Alligator mississippiensis: one gene and its partners. The protein of the gene in region 3 interacts with the protein of the main gene of each other region in a biochemical or structural test. Links are inferred from orthologs where the notes say so. Each region holds a gene or a part of one and is shown on either strand. Other genes may lie near its edges. The genes, in order: ABCC2, ABCC4, NHERF1 and NF2.

Region 1 (7,691 bases), on a different chromosome or scaffold from region 3:
CGGTCCAAGTCCTAGATCTCCAGTGGCTATGCGATGTTCAAGCTGGTGTTTCTGCCACCACTTTGCCAAGCCGTGCCTTCCTCCCAGCTCGCACGTTCCTTCCACCGGGACCCGCCCCGTGTCTCGCCCCTTTTCCAGGTCACTTATATGAATGATAAATAGGACGGGTCCCGACACAGACCCCTGGGGGACCCTGCTGTTTACTTCTTTCCATCCCGAGTACTGACCATTTAGACTCACTCCTTCGGTTTCTGTCTTTACGCCAATTTTTCTAATCCAGAATTGACCTTCCCTGTGATCCCATAACTGCCTAGCTTCTTCAAGAGCTGCCAATGGGGGACCTTGTCAAAAGGTGTTGTTGGAAGCTGTGGCAAAGTGGGGGGTCCCCATCTAGCCACAGTGCTAGTCTCCCCAACTCCCTCTGTGTACACCATGCACTTGTCTCGCCTTGTTGTTAATGAATTAAGTTGTTAATTAAGGTGGGAGGCTGCCCATTCTTGCCCCGATGCCAGGGGGCGCTATCTGCAGCTCCGTTCTTCCCCAACACCGCAGCCCAAGCCTTGCTGATGGCATCCAGGTGACAATGCTCCCGGCTTACCGCCGGACCGAGCTTAGGCCTCGTTGTCAGACCTCGGACGCACACACTTTCATAGCGCCCTCCTCTCACTGGGGCCTCGCACACTCCACCCCTCTCACGGGGTCTCTTTCACACCTCGACAACTTGTACCACCTGGCTCCCTCGTGGAGCAGCCCCCTTCGGCCATAGGCTTTAGCTAGCTCATGCCTTGGGTGGCAGACGTACCGGCTTTTGAGTCTCTCCCGCAACCCTCACTGAGGTAGTGGCCAGCTAGTTGCCCGGCCGGGTCCAAGCTTGCCCTGGCCCCTCCTGGGGCAACTCTGTACACTCAGTCAATACTGGACTCCCAGCCCTCTGGTCCCCCCCCGGGGGGTCCTCATTTCTGCCCCCTCACTGGGGCTATGGCACTTCCCTGCCCTATGGGGCTCAGGTGGCCGCAGCCGTGCCTGGCCCCCCCACTCGTTCTTGTCCCACACCACGACTGGTGCTCTGGGTCTCACGGGACTCTCCCCCCCCCGGAGAGCAGGTCACTGTGCTGTACGCTAGCTCTTACTTTCAACCCACACGCAGCCTCCCAGCGGTGGAGGGCTTACCGGGGTCAGGACTCACCCTTATCTCTCAGACTGAGCCCCCGTACTCGGCATCTGGCCCAAACTGCAGCCTCGGGCATCTAAAGACATCCCTTGGCTTCCTCTCACTGGGGCCACGGGGCTTCCTCCCTGGTAGGCTCAGGTGGCTGTAGCCATACCTGGCCCCAACTACCGGGGATGTTACATGGCCCACCTGAAGGCAATGGCTGGGGTTAAGGCACCCTGACCCACCTTCCACCAGGGTGGTAACTGGCCTGGCATTTCCTGGGGGCTCCCACACCACTGAGCCCCACCAGGCCACCCGCTCCCGGCAGGGTGCAGTTGTAGATCATGCCCAGGACCAGGAGCCTCCTAGCCATCCCCTACAGCACCTGCCCTTACCTCCAGGGTGTTGCATGGAGCCTCACAGCCAGGCAATGGTCCTGCCTGGCCACCAGCTGCGAAATGCCCTGTTTATATCGGGGGCCAGAGCTCTAAAATGGTCGCTGCAATCACGCACCTGCTGGCTGCTTGGCTCCGCTCTTAAAGTGGCAGCACCACCAGTGCCCTGCCACAGAAGCCCAGATATACTATGTCAGCTGGCCAACCAGATCGCTGAGCTCTCGGCTGGGTGTGCATGGAGGGAGCGCCCAGCAGAAGCAGGCGCAGACCAACCGCAGGGACGGGGAGAGGTGGGGATGCAGCTGCAGGCATCCAACGCTGCCCTCCTCTTCCTCGCTGCTCCATGTTGGAGGGCAGACTGAGGGTGGCCTGGGCAGGAGCTCCTCCCTAAGGGGAGAGGCTGGATGGAGAAAGAGGGCTGGCATCCGGGCTGGAGGCAGCCGAGCTGTTTCCACTAGGAGAGAGAGAGAGGGAACAGAACTGCAGCTGGAACTGACCCCTAACCATGGGCCCTCCCAACCCACACCCATCCCCAAGGCACTTTGGGGTTATGGGGTGTCCAGGTAGGGCCACGGGGTCACCCCCTGCTCAGGAGATCGGGGGGAGAGGGGGGTGCGGGGAAGGGGTCCGTGATCTCCAGCAGGGTCTGCAGGCCCTTGCACAGTCTGCCTGGATGGGAGCAGAAAGGACTCACGGACAATCCTCGCTACCGGGGGTGTTGAGGGACCATTCCCAGAGCAGGATCCCAAGGCAGAAGGCACCCGGTACCTCCTTCCAGGGCTCTGCCAGCCATGCCTCCTTCGGGGACCTCATCCCAAATGAGGAAGCTGCACCTTTCCACTCCTGGCTCTGGGGAGCTTGGGCAACGGCTGCTGCTTCGTACTGCAGCTCCTTCCCTGCCCTGCCCTCCTGGGAACGGGACCCACCGAGCAGGAGCTGGCTTGGTGATGGCGAGGCTATCGGAGCAGATGAACGCGGCTCGAGGTTGGAGGTTCACTGGCTTGTGTCCGGAGATATCCCCAGAGCAGGGCAGGGGCCCGTCCTGTGCTGCACAGGTCTCCGCATTGTAGCGCTAGGACTCCGAGGCCTGCTCTGCCGCCTGCCTGGTGCCGCGGACCCCAGAGGGGACGTGACTTCTCCAGCCGCTGTGTTGCAGGCCGGGAAGCGCCACGTGCGCTTGGGCCCGCGTCGCACAACTCGGGAGAGCAGACGCTGCTTGTACTGGGCTGCCAGCCCTCCTGGCAAGGAAGAGCCACAGTGACACGGGCTGGCTGTGGGGTGTTTATTTGACATCATAGCGCTGTCGCACAATTCACCGCCCCATTAGCTAACCCTCCCCTCTGGCCCATGGCTGCCGGACAGTTGGTGCCAGTGCTGCAGCCAGGAAAGGGTCCACAATCAAAAAGACCAGTAGTGGCCTCCAGCCCCGGGAGTGGGCATCCACATGAAGCCACAAAAGAGACCACGGAAGAGGTGGCAGGTTTCTGCGTGTGATCCATGCCCTTCCCCGCCCCGGGGATGCGGGAGCTGAAGTCTCTTTGCCTGCGCTGACAGGGGGGTCCCAGGGTCTGCACGTTTCTGTCCCGCTACAGGATGTTCTTTGTGATGGCGTTCAGGGTCCGCACTTTCGCCACGTCGGCCACCTTGATGGACAGTCGGAGGCAGAGGGAGGCTCCCTTGTCAAGCCAGAGGGTTAAATATCTGGAGGGGTGAGGAGCCAGCACACTGACCAGTTAATTTTTAGGAACCAGATTGATTAAACCTGCTTTGCATCTTGTAAACCAACCTGCTCTGCGGCAGGTGAGGCCTGTGATGCCCCGCATGCAGCCCAGGTGTCCATAAGGTATCCAGGGGGGGAGCCCAAAGAATAGCCCCTGCCTGCGCTGCCCACCAAGGCCACCACCCAGGCGGAGCCCATGGGGCACCACACTCCCACTGTCCTCCACCACGCTGGCCCTATCCCCTCTGCTCAGCCCCATGGGAACAGCTGCCCTGTCTGATGTGTTGGAGAAGGGATGTCAAGGGAGGGGAGGGCCCAGAGAGGCCTGGGCTGGAGATGGGATGGGGCCAATGTGGTGGAGGATGATGGGAGCACGGTGGCTCCATGGGCTCCCCTAGGGTGGTGGCCGGGGCGGACAGCACACGCAGGGTCTGTGCTTTGGGGTCCCTCGTGGACGGCTGGGCTGCGTGCGGGGCATCACAGGCCTCCCCTGCCGCAGGGCTGGCTTGTTTACGAGATGAAGAGCATGTTTAATCAATCAGGCTCCTAATAATTAACTGTTCTGTGTGCTGGCTCATTGTGCCCCTGGACATTGCACTCTCCCGGGTTGGGCGGCTGGTGGCTCACGCAGGGTTGCTGCCAATTAAATCATCGATGACTTTTGAGCTACTTCTCAAGTGCATGAGGCATATCTGAGATAGCAGATTTCCCCTTCCAGCCCCGCTGTTGGAGCCCCCGTCACCCTTCCCAGCTTTGCCCCCTTGGCTGGGGGTGCCCAGCACTGTCCCCAGGGGCCGCCGCGTGGCTGCCAGAAATTTTGGGGCAGTTCTGGGGAACCAGCTCCTCCTGTCTTTCTAAGGATCCCCAGGGGTCGGGTCCCAGGCATTGGGTGCTGGGAGCTCTCCCACCTTTGGGCTGGCTGGCACCAAGTGTCTGGGCCGTGTGGGGACCTCGGGACTGCAGGGCCAGCCCAGAGCTCCCTGGGAGGAGAGTGGGGCAAGGAGGGAGCTCCCCTCAACTGCTGGCAGACACTGGCCTGCAGGAGACAGCCAGTCCGGCCCAGACCCGGGCCTATAGGGTCACACTATTGCAGGGTTCCCAGTAGGACAGTGCGGTGGGGCTTGAGGACCGGCTGTTGTGTGCTGGGATGCTCCGGCCTGACACCCTGGGAGGCGGTGGTGGAGCCGGGTCCCACATCCTCTGCAGCCCTGGGCCGCTCTGCGCTGAGATCCCCGGTGCCCCGGCTACCAGGATGGCTCCGAGCGGGGATCCCCGAGGCTAGAAACCCCGAGCGGCGGCAGCCCAGGCCCCCCCGCCCCGGCCCAGCCCGGCCCACCCCTGTGGCCGCCGGTCGGGTTGGTTTGCACAGGGCTCGGGGAGTTAACGATTAACGCCACCTGCGGGCTCCTTATCCCGACCCCGGGTGCGTGGGGACTTTTGCCCGGGCAGCGCTCGCGGCACCCACGGAGCTGCCGGCCCAGCCCGCCCCGGCCCGCCGACATGCCGCCCGCTCTGGACCACTTCTGCGGCTCCGTCTTCTGGGTGAGCGGCCCTGGGGGCTCAGGCCCGGGGGCTCAGCCCCGCGCCAGGGCTGCCGCGATCGGGCCTGGGGCAGCCCAGCCAAGGGGCGGCGGTGGAGGTACCCCCGGCCCGGCTGCAGGCGGGAGCCAGGGCCACCGGGAGCCGAGGGACGCGGCTGGAGCTGAGGCGCTGCTGCCCACAGGGAGAAGCTGGGGCCAGGGCCGTCGGGGATCTGCGCAGGGGGACACGGCACAGCCTGCTCCGCGCCCGCCCTGTCCCCTGCCCTGCGCCGCCCTGCGCCCGGGCACCTCCTGCCCCCGGGTGACCTGGATCCTCCTGCCTCCCCCAGAACACCTCGCTGCTGCAGCGCCCCGACGCCGACCTGCCCCTGTGCTTCGAGCAGACCGTGCTGGTCTGGGTCCCCCTGGGCTTCCTCTGGCTCTTCGCGCCCTGGCACCTGCTGTCCCTGTGCAAGTCCAGTGCCAAGAAATACTCCCGGACCAGGCTCTACCTGGCTAAGCAGGTGCAGTCCAGCCCGAGGGACCTCGCGGTGCAAGGGGCTGGGTCCAGGGGGGCAGGTGGGCATGGCCGGGGGGTACAACAGGCTGGCATGGACTGAAGGGTGTTGCAGGTGGGCGACAGCGCAGCTCCCCCCTGCCAGACCCCACGGCCTCTGTAGCTTGCGGGGCTGGGGCTGGGGTCTGCTGACAGCTGTTCCCCCACAGGCACTGACTGGGCTGCTCCTGCTCACGGCTGTGACTGAGCTGGTCTTCACGCTGGCAGAGGACTTGGGGAGTCCGGGCCCGGCCGGCCAGAGCCCCGCTGTGCACTACACAAACCCCGTGCTGTATACGCTGACCTGGGTAGGAGCTCCCTGCCCCCAGCAGGGGGGATCGGAGCAGTGGGTGGCCCCAGGACACCCCTGTGGTTGTGGGTTCCCACCATGCATGGGCAAAGGGACCTGCCTCCTGGGCTTGGACTGGGACCTGCCTCCATCAGGGGCAGGGGTGGCAAGAATGGGGCACAGGCTCCCTGCAGACTCAGGCAGGTGCTGCTGCTCCAGTCACACTCTGGAGAGGAGGCTTCAGGTCCTGATCCCAGAGCTGTGGGTCCCAATCCTGGGGCTGTGGGCACTGGACCCTGTGTTTAACCTTTGCTCAGTGGGGCCCTGGGGTTCTGCCCCTTCCCTGATGGCCCCTGACCCAGCTGCTCCCTCACCAGGTCCTGGTGCTGTTGCTGCACGATGCCCGGCGCCGCTGCCTGCGCAGGGACTGTGGGCTGCTCTTCCTCTTCTGGATGCTGTCCCTGATGTGCGGCATCTTCCCACTCCAGACGCTGATCCGGAGGGCGCTGCAGGTCAGGTCTTGCAGGACCTCTGTGCTCCCAGCTTGGCCCCTGGGGAATCCCTTCCTTGCTCCTGCTCCAGATAGGCAGGGGTGTTTGGCTCCCCTGTTCACACCAGGTCCTTGCACTTGGGTCCAGGCGGGGGCTGGAAGGAGACAGGCCAGGGCCCGGCCACCCCTGCCACAGGAAGGGCGGTAGGAGGGTGTGTTCTCCTTGGCCCCAGACACCACCCTGGCTTTGTGGGATCTGGCCCCGCTCCTGTCCTGGCTGATGGGTTGAGCTGGTGTCTGGGCCTCGCTTTGAGATAACCTGGGCAGCTCCTGGATGTCTCCCTCCCACAGGGCCCCATTCCTGACGTGCCACGGTTCAGCCTCTTCCTCCTCTCCTATGGGCTTCAGCTTGTCCTCACTGTCACCTCCACCTTCTCCGATATCGCCCCTGAAACTGCTGAGGCTGCCAGGAAGGTGAGGCCCTGGGTGCTGTGGGGAGCCCCACAGGCAGCCAGGGGCTGGGGACAGAGGGCTGAGTCCATGGGAGACCCTGGAGCCATTCTGCGGGCTCTGCGGAGCAGTTCCCAGCGTGGGTGGTGGATGGAGAAAGGGCTCCTGGCCTCCACCCTGCACAGCCCTGAGACTGGTTGGGCTGGTGCCCGCATGGCATGATGGGGCCAGAGCCAGCTCCCCAAACCCCTGCAGAGCGGCCGGCTCAGGGGACAGACACTCCTTGTCCTTGTGCCCTAGAACCCCGAGGTCACGGCCTCCTTCCTGAGCTCCATCACCTTCGGCTGGTACAGCAGGTACGTGGGACGCAGGGCAGGGCTGGGCCAGGGCACTGCTGGGGCCACGTGGTGTCTACACCTTGAATGCTGCACCCAGCTCTGGTCCTGTGCCTCCCAAAGGATAGAGAAGAACTAGAGAAGGGCAGCAAGGTGGGTTTGTAGGGGTAGGGAGGGGCTTGTACGGGAGAAGAGACTTACGGGGTCAGGCCTGGTTGGTTTAGAAAAGCAGGGACAGGAGACGGGTTTGCACAATACTAAACAGTGACGAGAAGGTCTGCAGGGAGTTATGACTGACAGTCTCTCGCCGGACAAGACCTGGGGGCACAACATGAGACGAGCAGCAGAACCGGGGCTGGGCACCGGGGTATGGTGGCTGGGGGTGTGGGGTGAGGGCTCAGGACAACTGGTGGGGGGGTCCCCGCAGCAGAGCTGACCGAACCCTCTGGCCCAGGATGGTGTGGAAGGGGCACCGCAAGCCCCTGGAGATGGAGGACCTGTGGGAGCTGCGGGACCAGGACAGGACACAGCCAGTCTCCGTGGCCTTTGAGCGGCACATGCAGGCCGAGCTGCGGCGGGCCCGGCGGGCGCTGGAGCACCGACACCACCGCCGCAGGAACCATCCCGCTGACGCGGAGCACAGGAATGGGCTGGCCCCGGCCCAGAGCCGCGACGTCCTGGTGCTGGTAATGCCCTCAGCTGCACCAGGGCGGAGCTCAGACCAGGGCACCTTGTCCCCACCCCTCCCAGCACAGCACAGCAAGGCGGGGGCTGGAGGGCCCC
Region 2 (7,523 bases), on a different chromosome or scaffold from region 3:
GTTAAAAATGATTGAATTCCTTCCCCTCCACAGCAGCATGTGCAGAGGATTGAGAAAAGTCTCTACATCCACAGCAAAAGGAACCCGTGACTTTTCAACATTCTCCACCTGCCTGAAAGAACAAGTGAGGCTACTACTCATCATAAGGTCCACAGTACTGGGACATCAAGGGTTTACAAAGGAAAATGAGAGCAACCAAGGAATAACTATGCAAATGTTGCATACTTCTTAATGCAGAGCGTAGGAATTCCCTAGAGGGGTGCCATTCCTGACAGGACTCACTACAAAACACAACAGTTGGCACATTTCTCTGCTTCCTCTCTCTTCTTCTCTGTGCACTGTAGTTCTGGTATCTGAGATACATGCTTTACTTTCTTTGGATTAATTCACAAACTTATAATTTTTTTCCCCCTAAGAATAATGATTAAGAACTGAGCTGTTAAAAAAAAAAAAAAATCACACTTCTTAAAGTACTCATTCAACACGGCCTTTAGGCTTTCCATATTCCCCAGCTCTAACAAAATAGTGTATTAGTGGTGTTGCAAACACTAGCTTTATTTTTGTAATACAGGTCAGCAATGAAATCCACTTTACAGCTGTATGCATATAGTGTAACCACTCAGGGAGAGCTGAAAATGCAAAACACCAACAAGGTCAGTCCTGCAAACAGGTGCACACAAGCTACAGAGAGCTTAGCACTTGCTCTAATGTGCTGGGCAGCTGGCCCATATGGTCTCATTTCAGTGGAGCAGAAACAGCCCAGGAAGGGGCTAGAGAGAAAGGCAGGATAGATTTGCACCTCACAGACTAACCAAAATAGAGGTGGTCTGATTAGTCTATAAGGTGCAGATCTACCCTGCCTTCTATTTAACTTCAGACTAACACAGCTAACAACACCTCTGTGCTAAAGGGCTAGAGAGGGCAAGGAAAAAGAGTGTGCTGCAGTCTCTTCCATCCAAGGAAAACCTAAAAAAATCCTGGCTTTAGCATCTTGAGACGCAAACACAGCAGCCTGGTGAGCGCCCAGCAGAGGGAACTCTACCAGGGCTATCTGGGATGTTTTGTTTTTGTACCTCCTAAAACTTAGGACCTCTGAACACATACCCTAAATAAGGGAAAATCTGCTTGGTCACTTGCTTTTTGTCTTTCTGGAGGAAGGGATGGTCCCTCTCCACCTTCCAGAAAGGATTCTTGCACCTACTCAGATCTGGTTGTACTGTCAAGATGGTTAATTCAAACACCATCTGGGTTTCCAAAGTGTTCAAACAAAGAGGTTTCTGGCATGCTGCCCAGCCCCTGCAAAGTCTTCACACTGCATATCTGGCCAAGGGACGAATAAAGCTGGGATCCAGATGCACAGAGTGGGAGAAGACAAGTGGGTGGGATCCTCTTCACCTCCCTCTCCAAAAAGTCTAGGGAAAACAAGAAGCAAACTCTCTCCCTGCTGTGGGCAACCACTGTAGAAAGCAGGGATGAGCCATGGGTGATGCCACCTCTGTACAGAGCATGGAGTTTTAGCCCTGTTAATCTGAAGTCAAGTGGACAGCAGAGTAGATTTGCACCTTATAGACTAACCAAAGGTTAGCAAAGCATCTGCTTTCTCTTTAACTGGATAAATATGTGCTGTGTTATACGTGATGACGTACCACACTATATGCCCAGCTCCCTTTTCAAAATCCTAGATCTGTCTATGCAGAGTAGATCTACAGCTATATCACCAGAGCAATATCTACCTTAAAGCAGATCTATAGCTATAGAGCGACAGACAGAGCGAGTGATAAAGTGAGCACTACAATATGACAGTGAGCTACAGTGATATAGTGATAGATATAATTGATAGAGTGAATGATAGTTATAGTTATAGAGCAAACGATACAATATGATAGAGAGTGAGTGACAGAGCAAGACAGTGATATAGTGATTGAGTGACGGAACAAGTGATAGAGTAAGTGATACAATATGATTGAGAGCAAAAGAGGAGTAGACAGTGATACAATGATAGAGCAACACAGTGAGAGAGCAATACAATAGAGCAACAGAGCGAGTGACAGTAACAGTAATAGAGCAACTAATACGAGATGATAGTAAGAGCGAGCGATAAACCAAGACAGTGATATGGTGATAGATACGAGTGACAGAGCAAGCGATACGATGTGATAAAGAGAGAGTGAGCAATAGACAGTGATACGGTGACAGAGACAAGTGATAGAGCAAATGATAGCAATAGACCAAGCGATACAATATGAGTGAGCGGGAGCAAGACAGTGATAAGGTGATAGATACGAGTGACAGAGCAAGCAAGGCGATGTGATAAAGAGCGAGCGAGCAATAGGGCACCACAGTGACAGAGTGAGTGATGGTAACGGTGACAGATGCAGCAGGAGAGTGATAGAAAGAAACAGCTCTGGAGGGATAGGACAGAGCGAGTGCGAATGAGAGAGATGCCAGATACGGCAGAGGCACGGCTGGACACACGGGTGCGGGCAGAGGGAGAGCGCGCCCGACCACAGGCTTTCCCGACCTGAAGCTCCCTCCAGCCGCGGCTGCGAGAGGAGGCGCAGGGAGAGGCCGAGGAGGAGGAGAGGAGCCCGGCTCCCCGCGGGCCGCACTCACCAGAAGAAGAGCCGCGAGCAGAGGTTGGCGCCCTGCAGCGGGTTGGGGTTCTCCGCGCGGGGCAGCGCCTCCATGCCGCCGCCAGCCCCGGGGCACGGGCACTGGCACGGGCACCCGCCGCTTCCGGGGCCGCCCCGGGCCCTGCCTCTGCGGCACAGAGCGGCGGCGGGAACCGGGAGCCGGGCCGGGCCGGGCCGGGGCGGAGCCGCCCCAGAGGAGAGGGCTGCCCGGACCCGCTCCCGCTCCCTGCCTTCAAAGCCTGGCGCGGAAACAGCCCAGGTGCGGGTGCCCTGCTCCCCTCCAAAGTCCCTTCCTTCACGGCCCTGAGCGACAGGCTCCGGCGCGGCCCTGCCCCTGCCCGGCAGGGAAAGAGCAGGTTGCAGCCCACCTCAGAGCGCCCAAACCCTTCTTGAATGGCATGTAGGGACACAGCTACACGCACACACCGCGCATGTCGACACGTGCATTTACCGGGCTTTTATGGAGAGGGTTGGGTTTAGACCCGCAGGCATTACAGCGCAGTAAGTTTGTGTCTGGATGGACTTGGGTACACAAATAGGGATACTGTGCAGTAAGGCATCTATGTCCTTAGACCAACACGGCTACAACCTAAACCCCTGTCACTGTGCAGGAAACACTCAGGTGGGAATTTGCTACCTGCCTCATGCAGGTAGCAAATTTCCACCCAAATCGGTGCATGTCACTAGAGTTACTGCACAGTGTGCGGACTGCGCAGTGATTTTTGGCCACTGAGAGGTAACTTAAGTTACTGCCAAGTAACGGTGCATGTGGAGACATGCTCATTTAGACACATGCTCACACACTTAAACATACGCTCAAACACACACGGCCCACTCTCACTGGAATCTAGCACTCGCTGAAAACAGGCAAATCATGGTTACCCCGAGATCAAATGTGGCCAACCTTTTATTCAGGGGTGGATCTAGGATTTCCCAAAGAGAGGTGTGGGGGTGACTGTACCCCTACCTCCCTGCTTCCTTCCCCACCCGTGCAAACAGACTGTCCTCAACAGCCCGCAGGGACTTTAGGTCTCTAAAGCAGGTGACAAGTCCCACCTCCTTTCCCTTCCCTCCCCATTCCACAGCTGCCATTGTTGCTTTCCCAGATGTTTTGGGGGCTGGGAGAGCACCAGAGCTGTTCCTCCTCACCCAGCCAGGCTGGCCTCATCTGGGGAGGGGACAGGGGCAACACCAGGGTGGGAGAGTAGTTCCTCTCTCTGTCCTCCATCCCCTGGGAGCAGGCAGACTGAAGGGGATTCCCCTCAACCCATCCCCACTGCTGCCGTCCCCAGCTGAGATCAGCCCACATGCAGCCTGGCTACACCAGACAGGAGCGGCTCTGGTGCTTCCCCCACCCCTGGGACAGTGAGAAAGCAGAGAAAGTGGGGAAAAGCAGGGGAGGAAGGTTTTCACTTCTTTTTAAAGAGTTAAAAAGTCCCCCAAAGCTCCCCTGGTACAGTGCAATCCAAAAGAGGGGGTATAACTACCCCATTACAGCTTCTCTGGATATGCGCGTGCAGTTTTTAATACAAAAGTTAAAGCTGGGACTCAGTGGCAACATGGAGGGGGTGCATGAGGGTGCACATCCACCCCCTGAGAGCGCTTATGCACCCCCTGCCAGCCAGCGTTCCCCACTTAAGCAATGGACGGGGGGCAGGTGGGAGCGCTGGTGCTCCCCCTGAAAGCGCTGGCTGGGGAGTAGGGGCACCAGGAGAAGCGTCGTTGGCACTTCTGGGTCAGTGTGATCAGCTGCAGGGGGACCCATCTGACTCAGAAGGCACCGGTCGCTCATGCCAGAACTTCAGAAAAAACCTGTAGAAGGTCTTTATACCACTCAGAGGGGGGAAAAAAATTTTAAAAGAGTGAAAAGACATTAAGGTGGAGATCTTAATATAAGCACCATTACCTTCCTGGGATAAAATAGTAAAGTTGGGCTGCCTGTGAATTAGGATTCTTTCTTTGGATAAGGCAGCAAAATTAAGTCTATAATCCTTGGTTAATTTTAGTCATACCGTAATGACTGCTTTGTTGTTATAACACAGAGAGAATTTTTTTTTCCCCCAAGGACATTGGCTTTGGAGAAAAGAATAAATAATTTACTTCCTGGATTAGTGTCTTAAGTCCTCTCTCTCTCTGCATTCCACCCCCATTATTATGAATGACACTGATACTGTAAATGATACCAACTAGGGCTCCAGCCTTGTAAACATTTACACACATTTAAGTATTTCCAATAACTTAATTTCCAAAACCAAATGCTCTTAAAAGATAATTGGATGGAGAGAGGAAAGCAAAGCAGAAGGGGAAAAAAACAAAATCATATTAAACAGAAAATATTTTTTTAAAAGCCAGTAGGCTAGATAAATTTGTAGGAGTAGCTGTTACAGAGCTGTCTACCATTGGGAAAATGCCACTACCTGGCAAGAACCCAGAAATAGAACATTGCATCATTATAAAAGGTAATAAAACACAAAACAAGCCATGGAATTTTGTCCTCTGAAAATTTAAGGCTACATACAAAAGAAAATGGGAAAATGAAAAGTGAACAAATTCATAGGAAATAATATAAAGACAGGAGGGACAAAACCACTAGCTTGACACTTGCACTTAGTCATATATGGAGTTCTGTGCTTATTGATACACAGATACATATACACACACACACACACACACACACACACACACAGAGCCATTTCTAGAAAGTACAACTTTATTAATAATTACATACAGCTACCTTGAAAGAACATTAAGGTTGTATGATCAAGCACTCATGATTAGGAAATGCCTAAGAAAAGGCAACACAATTCAACCTCTTATACATATGCATTATGTTACAGCCTTCAATTACATTTAAAAAAAACAACACAAACAGATTTCCTTTCTCATTTGGTGTACAGGAAAACTGGTCATCACTGAATGGGCAGCTGTTCAATATTCATTTTATCCTCATTTCTCAATATATGGCAATATGCCTTATTTACTGCTCTATTCATACCTTGGTCTGAATATAGAATTACTAACTTCCCTGTGAGCATTTCTGTGTATTTATCACTACTGTACCCAGTGCTTTACAAACATTTTTCACCCTACATCTCCCAATAGTGTGGTATGACCTCCAATTTCTGGATGGGAAACTGAAGCAAAGCGTTATTAAAATCATTGGAAGGGACCTCAAAAATCATCTAGTCCAACTGCCTGCACAGATGCAAGCTGTCTATTCCTAAACTATCCCTAACAAATGCTTATCTGGCCTATTCTTTAAAAATTAAAAAAAAAAACTTCCAATGAAGGAGATGTAAATTAAAAATTTCCAAAGAAATAAAAAATGTCTACTCAGTTAGGTACATCTAGAACCTACTTTTCCAGGATATTCAACACAATGATGCATTTTCAAAGTGCAACTCCCATTGAAATCTGTTGAAGCTATGAGCATTCAGAACTTCTGCAAATCAGCTCCCAGGGGCCCAAGATGAGTATTAGGAAATGGGGGGGGTGTCACAAAATGAGTAACCAGGAACAAAAATTTGGTTTAAGTGATTTGCCTAGCATTACATAGCAACTGTCTGGCAAAGGAAGCATAGAAAGCAGTTTAGAGTGGTTGAAAGCTTTCCAAGGGAACAATTGTCCATAGGAAAATGATGATTTGATGGAATCAAAAGATTCCGATGAACATGTTTCTGTCAAAGCTTTTGTTCAAAACAAGACAGAAAAGCAGACAGGCAAGTAGGCTGCTGGGCTTACCAGCCAACTGACTTGCCTGGTTTCCTTTCATACTATAGGCAAAAACAGTCTGGTAGTCTACTGGCTTACAACCCACCTGTTCAGTTTGTGTCCAATTTGTTATCCCGTTTTCTGATTTATTGACTAGAAAGTGTTTCCTCATGTGGGGACAAAGAACCGGAACTGTTTTTAAATTGAACTAGATAAGTTATCAAAAGCATAATATTATGGGAAAAGAAGTTGTTGGGTCAACTATTACCTTGTATTATATGCATAGACAAAGCTAGGATTTTGAAAAGGGAGGTGCAGACAGTGTGGCACATCATCACATATACACAACACATTTTTATCTACTTAAAGGAAAACCAGATGCTTTGCTAATATGCTAGCACCATATTATGCATTTTAAGGTCAAAGCAAAAACCAATATAACTAGTTAAATGTGCACTAATTTGCTAGATTATCTATAAAGTTTAAAAAACACAATAAACTAGGCAAAATAGTCAAAATGATCAAAATATATTGTATCATTAAGTCCGGTAGTCATTATAATTAAATGTACATCTCTTATTCAGATTCATAAAGCAAAATCTACTCTTCTCGAGTGTCTTGATAGTACCGCCAATACTTCCTGTTAGCCATTTCTACACCTGAGTTAAGGTTTTTCCTAGAACTAAAAACAGTCTTCAGGCTACGAAATAGAAGAGACATTACCAGGAATGGCTAACAGACAACAAAATGGCAGAAGAAAGGATAGTTTGAACAGTAGGTTAGCAGGACCATTAAAAAGACAGAGGGTCATTATCACCCATGGAGTGGAGAGAGATTAGCAGGAATCAGGGAGATGATAATGAGCTATGAAGGTAGTTGGTTTTAAAGTTTGGGTGCAGCAAGAATCGAAGGGGAGTGCAGCTGCACCATTGCACCCCAGTGGCACCAACCCTGGTTATATATAGGGTCAAGTACATACAATCCCTATGTTGAGGTACAGGTCTAACTTTCTTAAAATGTGGTAGATGTCTGGTAATTCAATTCCTCAGGGCTTTTGTTTGCCTGCAGGAAGTAGGAAAGATAAAAGTCTACTACCTTCTGGGGTTTTTTGGAGGCTTCCTCTAAGCACTGGGATGTTGGCCATATTGACCACGTCCACATGACCGTGAACATTTGTTT
Region 3 (7,088 bases):
GCTTTCACGAAGGACTTGCCGTAGAACTTCACCTGCCTTGTAGACGAATGTAAAGGTGACCCCTGCTTGAATATTAACTCAGTGGCAGGGCACTGCTCCGATGAAGCTCACGTCACTGATGGTCCCAGCTAGCACGTGCCATTCTGTGGGGCTCATGAAATAAAGATCAGGCTTCAAACAAACAGCAGTGGCTTAAAAAGAGCTCCTTTCCACGGGGCAGGTACTTCAGGCCTTGCATTTCTCATATGCATCTGTTTGGCAGGAAACAGCTGCAATGTTTCCATCTGTCCGACAGGTGGACAGAAGTGAACCAACAAAATGGGAGCTCGAGACACAGGTCATTAGCGTTTATTGACTTGAAACCTGATGACCAACCTTAACAATTCTTTTCATAAACTCTTGAGGGTTTTTCAACTTCCTTGTTTCTATTCAGAGGCAATTTAAGGCTAAACCAGTAGAGGAAGAAAAAAAAAAGCACCAAACGTGTTTAGACTATTGCTTCTTCGCCCTCCCTGACTGCCTGTACATCCATCTGTCTGCTATTTGCTGCCTGTTCACTTTCAGTTTCAGCTCCGTTGTTGTACATGCAACTATTCCTTGGCAGGTCCTGCAGAAACGGAGGTGGTAAACACTAGTATTGGATCACGGACTACACACAATGTGGTTCGAATGCAGAAAGGAAGCAATTTTGGGAGGGGGGAAAGACATTTTAAAACAATTTCAACTTAAGGGTTACAGGTACTAATAATAACTGCAGCACTGTGGCTTGTAAATGCGATTTTTCAAGTCAAAAGCATTGCGTGGAGAATAATAAATATAAAATAATCGGCAGAAGGAGAGAGCAGAAGGGAAGATGCTGAGAAATTCGGTGGTCTCGTGTTTCCAGACTGCTGCTATTAATTGCTTGCTTCAGTAGAAAAAGGAAAATGAAGTGGAACAGGAGGCATCAGCAAAGGACACCCCATGTTCGCTCTTCCAGTGTATATAGCGAGTAACGTGATCTCTTGAGCCAGAGTTGCTACTCCATCTTCCCTTGTGAAGCAGCAAAGTCGCTTATTCATGTAACTCCCTGACTCTTGGCTATTCTCTGTGTCCATTTTTTCTCCGCAGAAAAGATCAGGCTGATTTCCTAATGGCTGGAGGGCTCTCTCCTGCTTCTCCATGCAGTGGGTTTTATGCATAGCACTACTGACCTCAGATGCCCCAGGAAATTATTTTCTCATATAGTCAAGCGACGTATGAAAAGACAAAGGACCAGGTCTTTACAAGTGTTTTATTTCCTACCTCTCTTTGCGGTCAGTGGGAGTTAGCTGCCTCAATGCCTATAAAAGCCTCATTGAGAGAGTAGTGCAGAGACCCGAGGAATTTGGGGAAAGAGAAAGGAAGGGAAGTGCCCTCAAGAAGAAAACAGTTCAGGGTTCATGTCTTAATTCTCTGCTCGGATCACCCAGAAACACAAACTACCCATCAGTCCTACGAAGGTGAGGTGATCCACTGTGGTACCTCTACCGATCTGAGGCTGCATGAGGAAAAAGGACAGCGTTTTCTGCTCCGGTGACAACTGTGGCTCAAAGTCCATCCTGTGGTTTCATCTCCTTTTCCCATCAGCCTCACCTAAGTGTGCTGGGGAAACAAGCCTCTGGCACTGGTTCAAGTTATGGGATTTGAGTTCCCCTACCACTGCATTACCTCTGAAGGCCTGAGTTCAGGAAGGTCTAGTACAAAGTAGCAAGTTAAGTGATTTCAGGGCCTTTACCCCTTTCTAGTGGATGGCAACCCAAACTAACCTCAGTATAGGATAGACATGGGGGCAGGGTTGGACCCCTCTTTGATTCCTGCTCTACCCACAGTCTAAAACCAGCATTTCTAGCCAGGCAGCAGTAAAGGCATGAATTATCTTCATGGCTCATTGTAATCTACCCGGTCCCTTCAAAACTCTTCATTTCTCTGGTATTAACGACCCTCTCTTTTTTTCATCGTCTTGATATTCCACCAATCAAGCCAGCCTTTGCTCAGCAATTCGGCTGTCTGTAGCTGCTTCTGGTAATGAAGGTCCTATGTCACAACCCGGCTGATGGTCCAATGAAGTTATATTTGTTTTGGCTTCAACCTTAAACTGAATCATGCAGCCCTTAGGCCCCTAGCCTATTAGTAAAACTTCTAGTTTATTTTTAAGTGGAGAAAAAGTGGATGTATTGTTCCTACGTGTGATGATGCATCTTGCCGTCGGCACCCTCTTTTCAAAGTTCGAGATCTGCCCATGCATGAGTGAAATAACAAGCTTGTTTTAGCGGGATGCTCTAGCAGACTGTGCAGAGCCTATTAACAGGATGAAGCCTTTTGATGTGCCATACTAAAACATGGACCAATGCCCACCGCATAGAGCTACGAGCCCCCCCTTTAATAGGGGGGGCTACTAAGGACATATCAGGGATTGCTTGGGACAAACAAAGAAACAAAACGGGCATTTTTTTTTCCAAAAAGATTTATTTCTATATATATAAATATATATATATATATATAACTCTACCTCCAACACTATCAAGCAGCTCCTGTGGTTCACCTGGCAGATCACAGCACACTTGGACAGTTTAAACCATTAAAAGCTCATTACACAGTTTGCACCGCATCTCCGCACACCCATCTCTACACCCATGCCCCCACCCACAACCCTCTTCAGAGGGCCTGCAAAACAGGGACAAGGGCGAAGGTCAAAGGTCTGAAATGAGTTTACTGAAGGGAGACAGCGAGCAGAGCGTGCCGGCCAGTGCTCAGCAGCCCTTGAGCGTGTGCAAGGAGCCAGCGGACGCTGCTCAGCGAAACTGTGCTTGGAGATGTGAACAGAACAGGAACGGGAAGGGGGCTGTGCAATCCCCGGGGGTTCCCCCAGCCAAAGCCTCTTTCCACGTCCAATAGACAGTGGGGTTTTTAAAACTGTAAAAGCTTTTGGAGGTTTTTAAGGCCCGGCTACACAAAGCCGTGCTAGGACGATGTAGTTGGGGCTGGTCCTGCTTTGAGCACAGGGATAGACTCGAATCACTAGATGTGACCTCCCAACCCTCGTGGTCTCCGATTCTGTGGCCAGATTGACCAGGACCCGGAGGAGGTTGACCAAGAGGACTTGGTGGAGCCATGAACGGGGACGTGTAAAGAAAAAAGGTGCAAGGAGGGGGCAGGGGGTCATGCAGCCAGAGCCTCAGCAGCAGGTCTTGGAGCAGTGTCGGCCTTAGGGTTAATGGGGCCCTGGGCAAGAGTCATTCAGGGCCCCTTAGAGGTCAATATTAACCCACCACAGTTGCATCATGGACCTTTTTACTAGTCTTTGGGGGATTTTTTTTTTAAATTTGTTTCCGAGGCCAGATTAGCCAAAACCAATCCCAAATCCAAGAGTCTAAAACCATAAGTGGCCCTACTACTGGCAAACACCCGCCACCCACACCTGGGGCTCCAGATGTTTCCAAATCCTTTGGTGGGCGTCCTATGTACAGGCCCAAGCCCGGAGCCTGGGGGAGTTCGGACGCCCCCGAGATTTGCTCCTTCTCAGCCATCACCTACACGCAGCAAGCAAGGCAGGAAACCCCCCTTTTCCAAAAATGGGGCTTCACGCTGCTGCACCTCGGCAGGGACTGAACCAGAAGAGCAGGATCTTCGCCTATAAAAGGCAGAAGGATTTACATAAATAGCCGAGTGTTAAAATGCGAAAACTTGTGGAAACTACATCCCCCTGCCCCCAAATAGAAGAATAAAAATTGGGGACACCTAAAGTGTGGCCTGGTTTGCCCCCCCCACCCGGAGGAGGCGGAGAAGAGGCTGCAGGGGGCGCCCCGGCAGCAGGGAAACCCAGCGAGCAAGGAGGAGTGGCCCCCCAGAAGCCAGCAGGCCGAGGGGGCTGGTGCCCCAATCGTTGGGGGCGGGGCCTCAGCTTCTCTCATTTGCATAACCCCGCCCAGGGGAGGTGTGTCTCGGATTCGCTGCGGGTTCCAGAGCCTCTTGGGTTCCCAGCTGCGATTGGCTCCTCGCGGCGGCCCCGCCCCCGCTATAAAAGGCGGTGCCGAAGGCGGATCGCCAGCAGTCGGCGGCGGCGGCGGGGCTAGGCGCACGTGGCGCGGGGGGAGCGGAGCCCGCTGCCAGCATGAGCGACGGGGCGGGCGGCGAGCGGGCGGCGCCGCGCCTGTGCTGCCTGGAGAAGGGCCCGAGCGGCTACGGCTTCCACCTGCACGGCGAGAAGGGCAAGCCGGGCCAGTTCATCCGCCTGGTGGAGCCGGACTCGCCCGCCGAGCGCGCGGGGCTGCGGGCCGGCGACCGCCTGCTGGAGGTGAACGGCCACAACGTGGAGCAGGACAGCCACCAGCAGGTGGTCGGCCGCATCCGCGCCGCCTCCAGCGCCGTGCGCCTGCTGGTCGTGGACCCCAGCGCGGACGAGCCGCGAGCCCCGGCCCAGGAGGTGCAGCAGCAGCCGCCGCCGCCGGCGGAGGAGGAGGAGGAGGAGGAGGAGAAGGCGGCGGACGAGCCGGAGCCGGTGCAGCGGGTGCGTGCGGGTCTGGGGTCGCTTGCTCCCTCCCTCCCTCCCTCCCTGCTGCCCCCGGGGGGGCCGCTCTGCCCCTTGCGGGCTCCAAGGCAGAGCTTCCCCGGCACCCGTGGGACCAGCGCGCGTGCAGCCCGCCAGTGCTCAGCGTAGACGTGCGTTTGCTGTCCCCCGGTTGTCTGAGACTGGGGAAATGTGCATAGATGCATAGATTTTCGGGTTGGAAGGGACCTGTTAGATCATCGAGTCCAACCCCCTGCCCTGGGATGAGCCGATCCCCTGTGCCTAATCCTCGGTTCCTGCCTGCCCGGTTCCTTCAGGCCAGGCTGTGCCCGCAGCGGTCTCGTGAAAGCCGGCCTTGGCTTTCCAGAATAGCCAAGGAAGTGGTCACAAAAGTGTGCCAGGTTCGGGCAGCACCGGTGGGGGGAAGAGAGGGTGTCAGGAAATGGTTGCCAGCGTGGTGATCGTGTGAAGTTCGGTGTGTTTGAAAGTAAAAGGGCGTCCGGTTCTCGGGCAGCCCCAGTGCTGGCATCTTTTTGAAACAGCCCGACCTGCTGGGAGAAAGGAGAGGGTTGGAAATCAGCCGTTTCCAGAGAGCGCATCTTTACCTGTTCTCTGTGCGGGGGGGACTTGCAGCCAGGTCTTCTCGATGTGCTTCCTGCCGAAAGGAGAGGGGAGGTGCAGATCAGAAGGAGGGAAGGTGCAGAGGTGCGAGAATCCAGGCTGCGTATCTAGACTGGAGGAGCTGGACTGTTCTCGGTGGTGACAGAGCAAGGAGCGAGGGTCTCAAGTTGCAGCAGGGGAGGTTTAAGTTGGATATTACAGAAAACTTTCTCGCTGGGAGGGTGGTGGAGCGCTGGAACGGGTTACCTAGAGCGGTGCTGGAAGCTCCGTCCTTGGAGGTTTTCAAAACCCGGCCAGACAGAGCCCTGGCTGGGATGATGTAGTTGGGGCTGGTCTAGCAGGGGTTGTACTGGATGTGGTCCCTTCCAGTCCTCATTTTCTATGGTCTCCCTTTGGTGTCTTGGATACCTCTGAGCCTAGAGGTCGATTTCTAGGCTACTTGTTCAAATTACAGCGGGTTAGAAACCAGCACTAGAATTTTTACATATTTTCAAGCACTAACTTTATAGCTTGTTAGCTCTTTTTTGTAGTTGGATGGACATTTTTATCTTGTGATAATTACTCTGCACATGTGGCCGCTCTAGCTTCGTTGCACCATTAACCAGATAATTGTGTGATGATCACTTCGCACATGTACCCGGTCTTACTTTGCACGTGTTACCAGTCTAAACTTATTCCATGTTTAACCAGTGAGTTGCATAATATATGTAATATATAGCAGGGGCCTAGGTGGCACACGAAGAGCCACAGAATAAGCACAAAAGAAAGCCTGATGATGATTCAGAGCTATTAATGTTGCTTTTGTACCTGGGAACTCGGTGTAGAACCAGTGGCTGGGTGGTACTAGGAGCTGCACAAAGTGCTGAAGGAAAACAGACACACCTTCCCTAGTCTCTATTAATAATCTTCAGGGCTAATTATAGATGTAGGACTTCTGCTTTCCCCTCTGCCCACTGTCAAGAGTGTGGCAGCCTCTGTCTTGCTGCATTGCTGAAATAATGATACATCTCAAAGGAGCCAGTTTCTTATCAAGTTTTCCAAATGAGTATATAAAAGGCATGGATGGAGGTTGTCTCTCACCCCTAGGGCAGAGTGATATCTTCTCTGTGCTGGTGGGGCTAACCTCTTGCCATCTCCAGTGTATAAAGACAAGCTTAGCTTCTGCGTCCCCTATTCATATGATAAAGGGGTTTTTTGGCAGAGGGTCGGGGGTAACTAAAAATTGGAGCCTTTGTCAGGTTAAGATGGGGTTTATGGGCACGGGCATAAGATTCCCTAAATGCGTTACTGAGGAGCTACTTAGCTGTGACCTGTAGCCATTCGAAAGAACAAATGACTTGGACCAATTTGGAAATAGTGTGGGAAAACTAAGTCTGAGCAGTGCTAAGTAGCCCTCTGGTAGTGTAGCATGGACAAAGCTACACCACTTCTAGCCTGCGAGGAGGTGTGTGTGGTGTCTTTTAGGACAGCGCTGCTGGGCAGGATAGCATTGCAGTTGAGATGTGTCCTCCTTTATATCCCTTCATACCCCGGTATCGCTTCATATCCCAGTGACGCCTGTCAAAGCTTAAACACAACCCCTCAAACCGTTGATCACAGTCAGGCAGCTGATGTGCTGTAACCACAGATTATAATGCTAACTGCTATTAACACACTATTTTTTTTTTTTCTTCCCCATTTGCAAAATGTGTCAGATTGAGATTGTAATCTTAGCAAGGCTGGGGTTCTCTGTCTGTGCAGTGCCTAAAACAAAGGATCTTTTGTCTTGTAGCTGCCCCCCATCAGAAAATTGAGATGCTTTTAGGGAAGAGGAGTTTTGATCCATGTTGATGCAAGTCTTACATTACAGTATGGAGACTTGTCCAACACCCCTGAAGTGACGTCAGTAATATCCTGTTAGTGGAAATACAGACAGACACATTACAGGGATGTGGAAGGG
Region 4 (7,693 bases), on a different chromosome or scaffold from region 3:
GATCTCTTATATCATCAAAGTCGTGGCAGGAGGGAAAAGAAGTGTCATCTGATCTCATCCAGCTCAGCCATAGGAGCACAGCCACCCTGAGGGGCCAGTGAATGTCAGCGGGATGTTGGGGCGTATGCCCTTACACGATGACTGCCCAACAGTCACCTGCCCTGGAAATCTTCAAAAGGAGACTGGACAGTCACCTTGCTGGGGTCACTTGACCCTAGCTGTCTTTTCTTGCTTAGTGTGGGGGAACTGGACCTGATAATTTATAAGGTCCCTTCCTGCCCCTAGCAATCTATTAGTCTATTAGGATAAATGTGTTAAGGATTATGAAGTGCTTTTATATTATAGTAATGGAGGCCAGGTCAATGCCTAAATTAGATAGACATGCTATTCACATGGGTGAAGTTCCACAGTAGCTTAAATGTTTGTAGGATTGGGTGCTTGAGGGGGCCAGAATATTGCATGTCTTTATCCAGGTGAACAGTCCTCCTGAAGTTAACAGGACTATGCATGTGCTTCCAGTTAAGCATGTTCCCAAGTGTTTGCACTTTGATCATACCTCTTAGGGCCCTTTGATTGTAAATTCTCTGGAGCAGGGTCAGCGGGTGACATCCTGGTTGCAAAGCTCTCATCTGTTTTAATGGTGCCAGGATTCCACCCTAGACTTCTATTTATGGCACAGTGTTGAGCAGACGATCCCTGCTTGACAGTTAACCAGCTAATAAGAATTATATCCAGAAAGTGAATGTGACTGGCTTATTTAATCATCCAAGTTGAAAGAAGCATGCAAAATTGAAAGCATAAATTAACCTAAAAAACCCCTCCCAATTGAATAATCTAAGGTCTGTTTGTAAAATCAAGGCTCTTTTTGGTGGTGAGTGGCTAGGGAAAGGGGAGGCTTTCATATTAACAGTACTCTTTCAGTAAAAACTCACCTTTTCCATTATTTCTTTCCTAATATCACTCACTCACTGGAGAATTAGAAAGGCTTCTTGTAAAGCCCTTTGAAAATAGAATCACATATACTCTCTGTTGGGTGACCTGGTATTCTTGTGATCGCTGCTATTGGTTTTCTTTAGTGCCCCCATCCTACAAAGGAGAGCTGTGTATGTGAACCCCTATGACTGCGGCAATCCCCATCATTATTGCCGGTGGTCTGTACTGGAGCTGGGCCTCCTTGGATAGTTTTCTTGGTGGAATAAGGCCTTAAGAGTGTAAGGGCACATTTTAAAAGTATTTAGGTGGTTAATTTCCATGATTTCAATAGGAGTTGGGGCCTAAATACCTTTTAAGAAGCTGTTCTTAAGGACTGTGGTAGAGGGAGGGTCATTTACTAGGAGTCTGTACAATGCCTAGCATGCAGGAGGTCAGATTTGCTTGGGTTCTTTAGCTGCTACCACAACATAAATACAAAACATTAAAATCTTGCTAGCAATAAATGAATGACCTTCCAAAATGGCTAGTACCTCTTTAGTTGTTTTTCTTTTTGATGAACAAAGAAAGCCAGAAAAATATTTTCTATTTATTTTTTAGAGAGCTAAAGGACAATTTTGCTCTTCTGCTGGTTTTTACTTTATAAATTCAGATCCTTTCTAGCCTTTACTTTCCCTAGAGCAGGGCTGTCCAAATGGCATCCTGCAGACCACATCCAGCCCAAAAAGGGTTACTCAGTGGCCCTTGCGTTTCCACCTATCTGCTACTGCTTCCATTACTCTGGCTGCGGTGGTTGTGGCTGGGGGGTTTCTGGAGCAGGGCAGCATGAAGGGAGACACAGTCTATTCAGTTTGCTGCCTGTGCAACAGCATCAGAAGTTGGGGCTTGGGCAGGGGGGGCATGGCAGGGGTATCACCAGTGCAGTGGTGGCTGTGGCAGTGGGAAGCCCTTGGTACTTATGTGGCCATGGGGTTACATGCGGTGGGGGTCCCAGAGAGCCCATGCAGCCTGGGGCCCATGACCTGAACAGCCCCCAGTTACTCTGAAGTTGAACAGCTCTGCCCTAGAGGACTCTATGGATATGTGGAAAACTGTTAGAATCATGGAATCACAAGCAGCTGGGAAGAAAAACCTCCATTTCTCTGAGTTAAGAAACTATTTTAATTTATGGTATTTAGAACGCAAATGTTTGATAAAAGCAGTTGAGAGAAAAGCTCTTGTTAAATAACAACTCCCACCCTAAGAACTGGGTAAAGAGGGGAGATCTTTTTGGGAGCTAAGTTAGGGAAGAAAAGACTCTATATACTCTTGTTATTTCTAAGGCATAAAAGTAAGAGGAAAATAAAGCTGAAAAGCTTTTATCTATCATAAAGAAGCAAGTAACGGCACAAACCCATTTCTTTTTTCTTTCTCCTAGTAGGTCACCTTTAAATTAATTCTGTTTGGCACTGAGGGGTTATGCTTTACAATAATACTTAATATACTGTGTTCTGTGTGCTTCCTAGTACACAACCTCATGTAGGTTTTAAAGCAAAAGTACTTGGCAGGAAACCAGGATGAAGCATTGCTGCTTGCACTCTTCATTAAAGAGTTCCTCCCTGAGCCCACAAGTCACCTGTAACCATGGCCCCCATTAAGTGACACAGGAACAGCTCAATCTGTTACCATAGGCATGGTTTCAAAATTACAAATGGAAGCTCAAGCCTCATTCTGCACGTTCTGCACTCAGAGGACCAGCAAGGAAAGGTGAGTCATAAAAGCTTTTCATGGCTTTGACTTTCCTTGAGTTTCTAAATTAGTCTGTCTGACAATTCAGAGGATGTGGAACAAGTTAGAGGCCTAAAGAAGCAGATGCATTTGGAGCTTTATGGTTGCTGGGTTTTAATAGAGTTTTCTGTCACAGGCAATAGACTCGGTAGCCTTAGGCCAGCCAGTGATGTGATGGAATTTCCTTGCACTCAGAAGAATGCACCCAGTGATCTTAGTTTCATATCCTGCCTATTCCTACACTACCCCCATGTACTGAGATTTAATCAAACCGCCTGTATCATGGGGAGATTCATTCAACTGTTAGCTCTTGGGGGCAAAGAGTATCTTTTTGTTCAGAATCTGCAGAGTGCTTAGCACTGTGGGGTCCTGGATCAGAACAAACTCCAAGGGTTACAATTCAAGTAATAAATGAGTTGGAACTTCCAGCTGCTAGGGCAGATCTGGTATTTGTAGGGCTTGTACCTAGTGGAATAGAGGACACTTACAGTTACATTAGCTTATTTAGTTGACTTATAACAACTATATACATGCATAAGAGACTGACTTAGTCTACCTGGCTCATTAGCTGTGTCTCCATTTGCCTCCTGTTCCTCCATACAACAGGCTCTGATAACTTTGATTCCCACTTCAAAGTTACTATTTGTCATTAGCAAATAGTACTGGGCTGAGACTGATTATTGATGTTTATAGATGGGTCCTGGTGGGGAAAAAAAAGGTTGAGAACCACTGCCCTAAGTGACCAAGCCAAGGTAGGCCTGACACTCAACTCTAAGGCATTTCATAGGATCACAGCAAATTAAGGCTGTAAAGGACCTTGTAAGATCATCTAGTCCAGCCCCCTGCTCAAGGCAGGATCATCCCTGTGCGTCTAACCTGCTTTTGAAAGTTTCCAAGGATCAAGTCCACAATGTCTCTAGGTAGTCTGTTCCAATGCCCGACCGCTCTTCAACCTAAATTTCCCCTGCTGCAGTTTGAGACCACCGCTAGTCCTATCCCCTATGACCACAGGCCTATCTCCATCTTCTCTACAATCACCCTGCAAGTAACTGAAGATGGTTATCAAAGCACCCCTTGGTATCCTCTTCTCCAAGCTAAATAACTCTAGCTCTTCCAGCCTTTACTTTCAGGTCCCTGATCATTTCTGCTGCCCTGTGCTGAACTCCTTCCAACCTGTCCACATCCTGCATGGAGTGTGGGGCCCAAACCTGGACAGGGCACTCCAGGTGAGGCCTCGCCAGGGCTGAATACAGCGGAAGAATCACTTCCCTTGATTTGCAAGGGATGCTCCTGTTAATATAGCCCAGGATGCTGCTGCCTTTGTTTTGTTTGGGGGTTTTTTGGCAACAGGGGCAAGCTGTTGGCTCCTATTCAGTGTAGGGTCCACTGCAACGGCCAGGTCTTTCTCTGCAGCTGGGACAGTCATCCCCAGCCTGGATCTGCTCTGCTGCCTGCCTGCGCCAGGACAATGGGACCTCGCCCGTTGCCTTTCAGCGCTGTGGACGACAGCCCACTCCAGGGTCGCCCCCTTGCTAGGCTAGGCCAGGCCGAGCGGGGCCCCCGGGCAGACCAGGTCCTTTCCCTCTTCCCGGGGCGGTGCACAAACAAGCCCTCCGGCGGGTCCAGTGCTCCTGCACAGCGCCAGCCTCCACCCGGGGCCCCACGGCGCTCCCACAGGCCGCGAGGCGGGAGTCCCCGCCAGGGGGAGCCGGAGCGCGGGCCGCCCTCGCCCAATCAGGGACCGGTGTTGCTCGGCGGCCTCTCAACCGCCCTTGCTGAGGAGGCGGGGCCGGAGTGCAGGAGTGGCAGCCGGGCTCGGCTACTCGGAGCGCGCCCAGCGCCGGGGGGTTAGGGGGGTGGGAGCGTACTGAATTTGCGATTAGCTGAGCGCATCTCCAGGAGGCGGGCGAAAGGGGCGCCCCGCCCTCCCGAGCCGCTGGGCCAATGGCGGGGAGTAGTGGAGTTAAGTTGCACCAGCAGCGGCGACGGGAGGTTGGCGGGGCAGGGAGCGGCGGTCCCAGCCCGCCCTGGCCCGGTGTTGCCCCTCCCCCCCCTTTCCACCATGTCGCCCTCGCGGCCCGGCCCCCTGAGGCCCCGCGCCCGGGGCTGATCCGCCCCGCCCTCCCCGAGCCGGGTGCGGCGGAGCCCGCCATGGCCGGGGCCATCGCGTCCCGCATGAGCTTCAGCTCGCTGAAGAGGAAACAGCCCAAGACCTTCACGGTGCGCATCGTCACCATGGACGCCGAGATGGAGTTCAGCTGCGAGGTAGTGGGCCCGTCCTGTCCCGCCCGGCCAGGGGTGCGCGGGGTGGGCCGCCTCGGAGGGGAGTGCCCCTGGCCCCGGCCCGGCCCTTCCCGCTCTGCCCTTGCTGCGGGCACGCAGGCGAGCGGGGCAGGCGGAGCTGTCCCGGCGCCTCTGGCTGGGGGCGGCCTCCTGCCCACTTGAGGGCTCTCCCTGCAGCCTGCGCCCACTTGACCTGTGCCCCGGGCAGGGCGCCTGCACTGAAGCGCCCTCAGAGCCTGCGCGGTCGCTCCCCGGTTGAGAAGCACTGCTCCAGCGCACGCTTGGCCGAGGTGGTTTGGGTAATGATGATCCCGCCTCAAGCAGGGGGTTGGGCTAGGTGAGTTCACCAGGTCCCTCCCAGCCCTGCGGGCCTATGAGTTCGGAGCTGCTGGGTCCAGAGCTGTTCCTAGTGGCCATGGGCATCCCCGGACCGGTGCGCTGCATCGGTTTTGAGCAGCGAGCGTAATTGTTCCATCCTTGTCTACAAGCGGTGCGTTCGTTTGAATGCGCTCAAATGTGCTCCCAATCCACTGTCTCCAGACCAAGTGCGTGAGAGGTCAGGAAGTAAATACTTAAATGGTGGTGGGTGTTACCTAACCCTGGAAGATGTTAGGCAGGCCCTTGCAGAGCCCCTTGCAGTATCTTGCCCCTAGAGCATGTGTTTGGAGGTTTGCAGGCTGGCATGTTGTATACAGCATGTGCTGGCCACAGACCCTCATGGTGCATGTGGAGCCCATCGGGCATGGCCTGCACACAGTGCTAGGGCTGGAGCCAGCATGTGTGCTACACACAGTGGGTGGGACCAGTCTGGGGCATGTGCTGTGTGCACCACGTGTGCTGGGCTGGCCATGCACACTGGATCCAGGGCTGGTCTGGATTGAGCCACAGACCAGCTGTAGCATGCAGGTCTGGGCTGGCATAAGTGCCACATACATCATGTGCCCTGGACTGGTCCTGTGCTCCACATGCTTTGTGGGGTTGGTCTGGGGCACGTACTGCACAAGATTGCCCTTGAGTGCTGGATCTCAGGCTGGTCTGGTTTGGGCCTGTAGACCAGCCCCACACGCCAGATTTGGTACAGGGCTCTTCCCTGTTATGATGGTGGGGATTCAAGTCAGGTCATTAGTTGCTATTCCTGAATGCCATGATGTAACTTGGGTGATCTTCTTTTGTATGACATTTCAGGATTACAATGTTCATGGATTAATATCTAAATTTGATAACCATTAGACTGCTTTAGGGGTAGCTGCATGGATTGATTTTTTTTTTTATTTTTTTTTTAGATTGCCATTAAATATTTAATTTGACAGTCGTTTACAATGTGTTACACCATCTGAAAAATCGCACCACAATTGCAACCCAGATTCTTTGATTCTCTATTTATGGGGTAGGTGTCCACATTTTCCATTAAGTGTCTGGATGTGATTCAGGGAGGACCAAATCTTTCTCGATAGGTCAAATCCTGGCTGGAGAATTGCAGGGTCACTGACTACGTATTTTTGCGGCAGGTTGGTATTCTCCCAGGTGTCCCTTCACTGTTCTTTGGTGCTCGTTATCACCATAGAGCTTCTTGGTGTCTTTCCAGAAGCTTTTTCTCGGTGGTGGTATAGTTGTCTCTGTGAGGGAGGTTCCTAGAAGCAATTCTTCAGTGACTCCCTTAGCTAGAGTAAAGGATTGTCTCTTCTGCAATATTGCTGCACATTCATAGATTTTCAGGGTTGGGACCTCAGCCTCAGGCAGAGAAATTATGTGTCAAAAATAATTGCTGAAAATATTGTGAAAGGATTGAACATCAGCTCTGGGTCACCAGTAATGCAGGTACTCTACTCTCTCCTAGCCCCTAAAGGTGATCTTCTTGCAAACCTACTGTGCATAGTAAGTAAATGGAAAGCTGTGAACAAATCTGAGTAATATTAATGTTTACAATGCTGAGCAGCAGACTCTTGGAATGACTGTGCTTGGGGGTATGAAAGGACCAACTTTTAGGCTAAGTACAGATAGTCAAGAGCCTGAGGCCGAATCCATTCAATCTTTGCAGGTTAGCCAAAGTTGTGTAGATTAAATCAATAAGCAACTGAATGGGTATTCATTTTGATTTTGAAAATGCAGCCGCATGCCTGCAGTAGCCTAGGCCAGAAGCCAAGGGGTGCTAGAGCACACCTCCCTGGTCAGCAGGAACATATAGCTTGGGCCAAGGCAGGCCTGCCCTCCCTATGGGGGGCAGAGGGTTTGTGGAGGAGGTGCAAAGCATCCTGGGGTGCTGGGGAACTGAGAGTTAACTTGAATCTGGAGGGGATCTGGACAGATGTTCAATAAACTGATTTAATCTAAATCAGTTAACTGATATTACATCCATCCAGGTTTATCTTAAGCTGGTTTCAGCCATTTTGAAACTGGTTTATGTGCACTGAAGTTGTGTTTATGCTACAGATTTGAGAGAGTTTCTGATTGCTTATACTGGTTTCTGTGTAATTTCTGTCCCTGGTCTTAATGAGGGTCTAGCATCCGTGTGCATTTGGCCATTCTGCCCCTGTATCAGTTGAAACATCCCAACACATTAGCTGGCCCCTGGAAAGCTTTATTTGATGTGTAATGCAAATGATTAACTGCCAGATTGTAGATGGCAAATCCTGGAGTTGTAGGATCAAACTAAGGAGCCAGCATGGTAAAAATAGCAATTTGTCCAACATTTGCTGGGGTTAGTTTGTATTCC

What was found.
Region 1: the proteins of NHERF1 (region 3) and ABCC2 form a complex in vitro, tested with the Homo sapiens proteins (2 studies listed by BioGRID). The link is inferred for Alligator mississippiensis from reciprocal best matches to the Homo sapiens genes NHERF1 and ABCC2.
Region 2: the proteins of NHERF1 (region 3) and ABCC4 form a complex in vitro, tested with the Homo sapiens proteins (3 studies listed by BioGRID and IntAct, with this or other methods). The link is inferred for Alligator mississippiensis from reciprocal best matches to the Homo sapiens genes NHERF1 and ABCC4.
Region 4: the proteins of NHERF1 (region 3) and NF2 form a complex in vitro, tested with the Homo sapiens proteins (2 studies listed by BioGRID). The link is inferred for Alligator mississippiensis from reciprocal best matches to the Homo sapiens genes NHERF1 and NF2.

What each region holds. Positions count from the first base shown.
Region 1 is NC_081829.1:101,076,765-101,084,455, forward strand, and holds the start of ABCC2 (ATP-binding cassette sub-family C member 2), read left to right. Parts: upstream 1-4,685; 5' UTR 4,686-4,768; coding exon 4,769-4,810; intron 4,811-5,138; coding exon 5,139-5,312; intron 5,313-5,514; coding exon 5,515-5,652; intron 5,653-6,010; coding exon 6,011-6,145; intron 6,146-6,474; coding exon 6,475-6,597; intron 6,598-6,873; coding exon 6,874-6,929; intron 6,930-7,362; coding exon 7,363-7,594; intron 7,595-7,691. UniProt on the Homo sapiens protein: ATP-dependent transporter of the ATP-binding cassette (ABC) family that binds and hydrolyzes ATP to enable active transport of various substrates including many drugs, toxicants and endogenous compound across cell membranes.
Region 2 is NC_081824.1:367,956,990-367,964,512, reverse strand, and holds the start of ABCC4 (ATP-binding cassette sub-family C member 4), read right to left. Parts: upstream 3,001-7,523; 5' UTR 2,688-3,000; coding exon 2,614-2,687; intron 1-2,613. UniProt on the Homo sapiens protein: ATP-dependent transporter of the ATP-binding cassette (ABC) family that actively extrudes physiological compounds and xenobiotics from cells.
Region 3 is NC_081831.1:11,679,298-11,686,385, forward strand, and holds the start of NHERF1 (Na(+)/H(+) exchange regulatory cofactor NHE-RF1), read left to right. Parts: upstream 1-4,074; 5' UTR 4,075-4,132; coding exon 4,133-4,528; intron 4,529-7,088. UniProt on the Homo sapiens protein: Scaffold protein that connects plasma membrane proteins with members of the ezrin/moesin/radixin family and thereby helps to link them to the actin cytoskeleton and to regulate their surface expression. Necessary for recycling of internalized ADRB2.
Region 4 is NC_081833.1:26,673,958-26,681,650, forward strand, and holds the start of NF2 (merlin), read left to right. Parts: upstream 1-4,684; 5' UTR 4,685-4,848; coding exon 4,849-4,962; intron 4,963-6,280; exon of another isoform or gene 6,281-6,367; intron 6,368-7,693. UniProt on the Homo sapiens protein: Probable regulator of the Hippo/SWH (Sav/Wts/Hpo) signaling pathway, a signaling pathway that plays a pivotal role in tumor suppression by restricting proliferation and promoting apoptosis.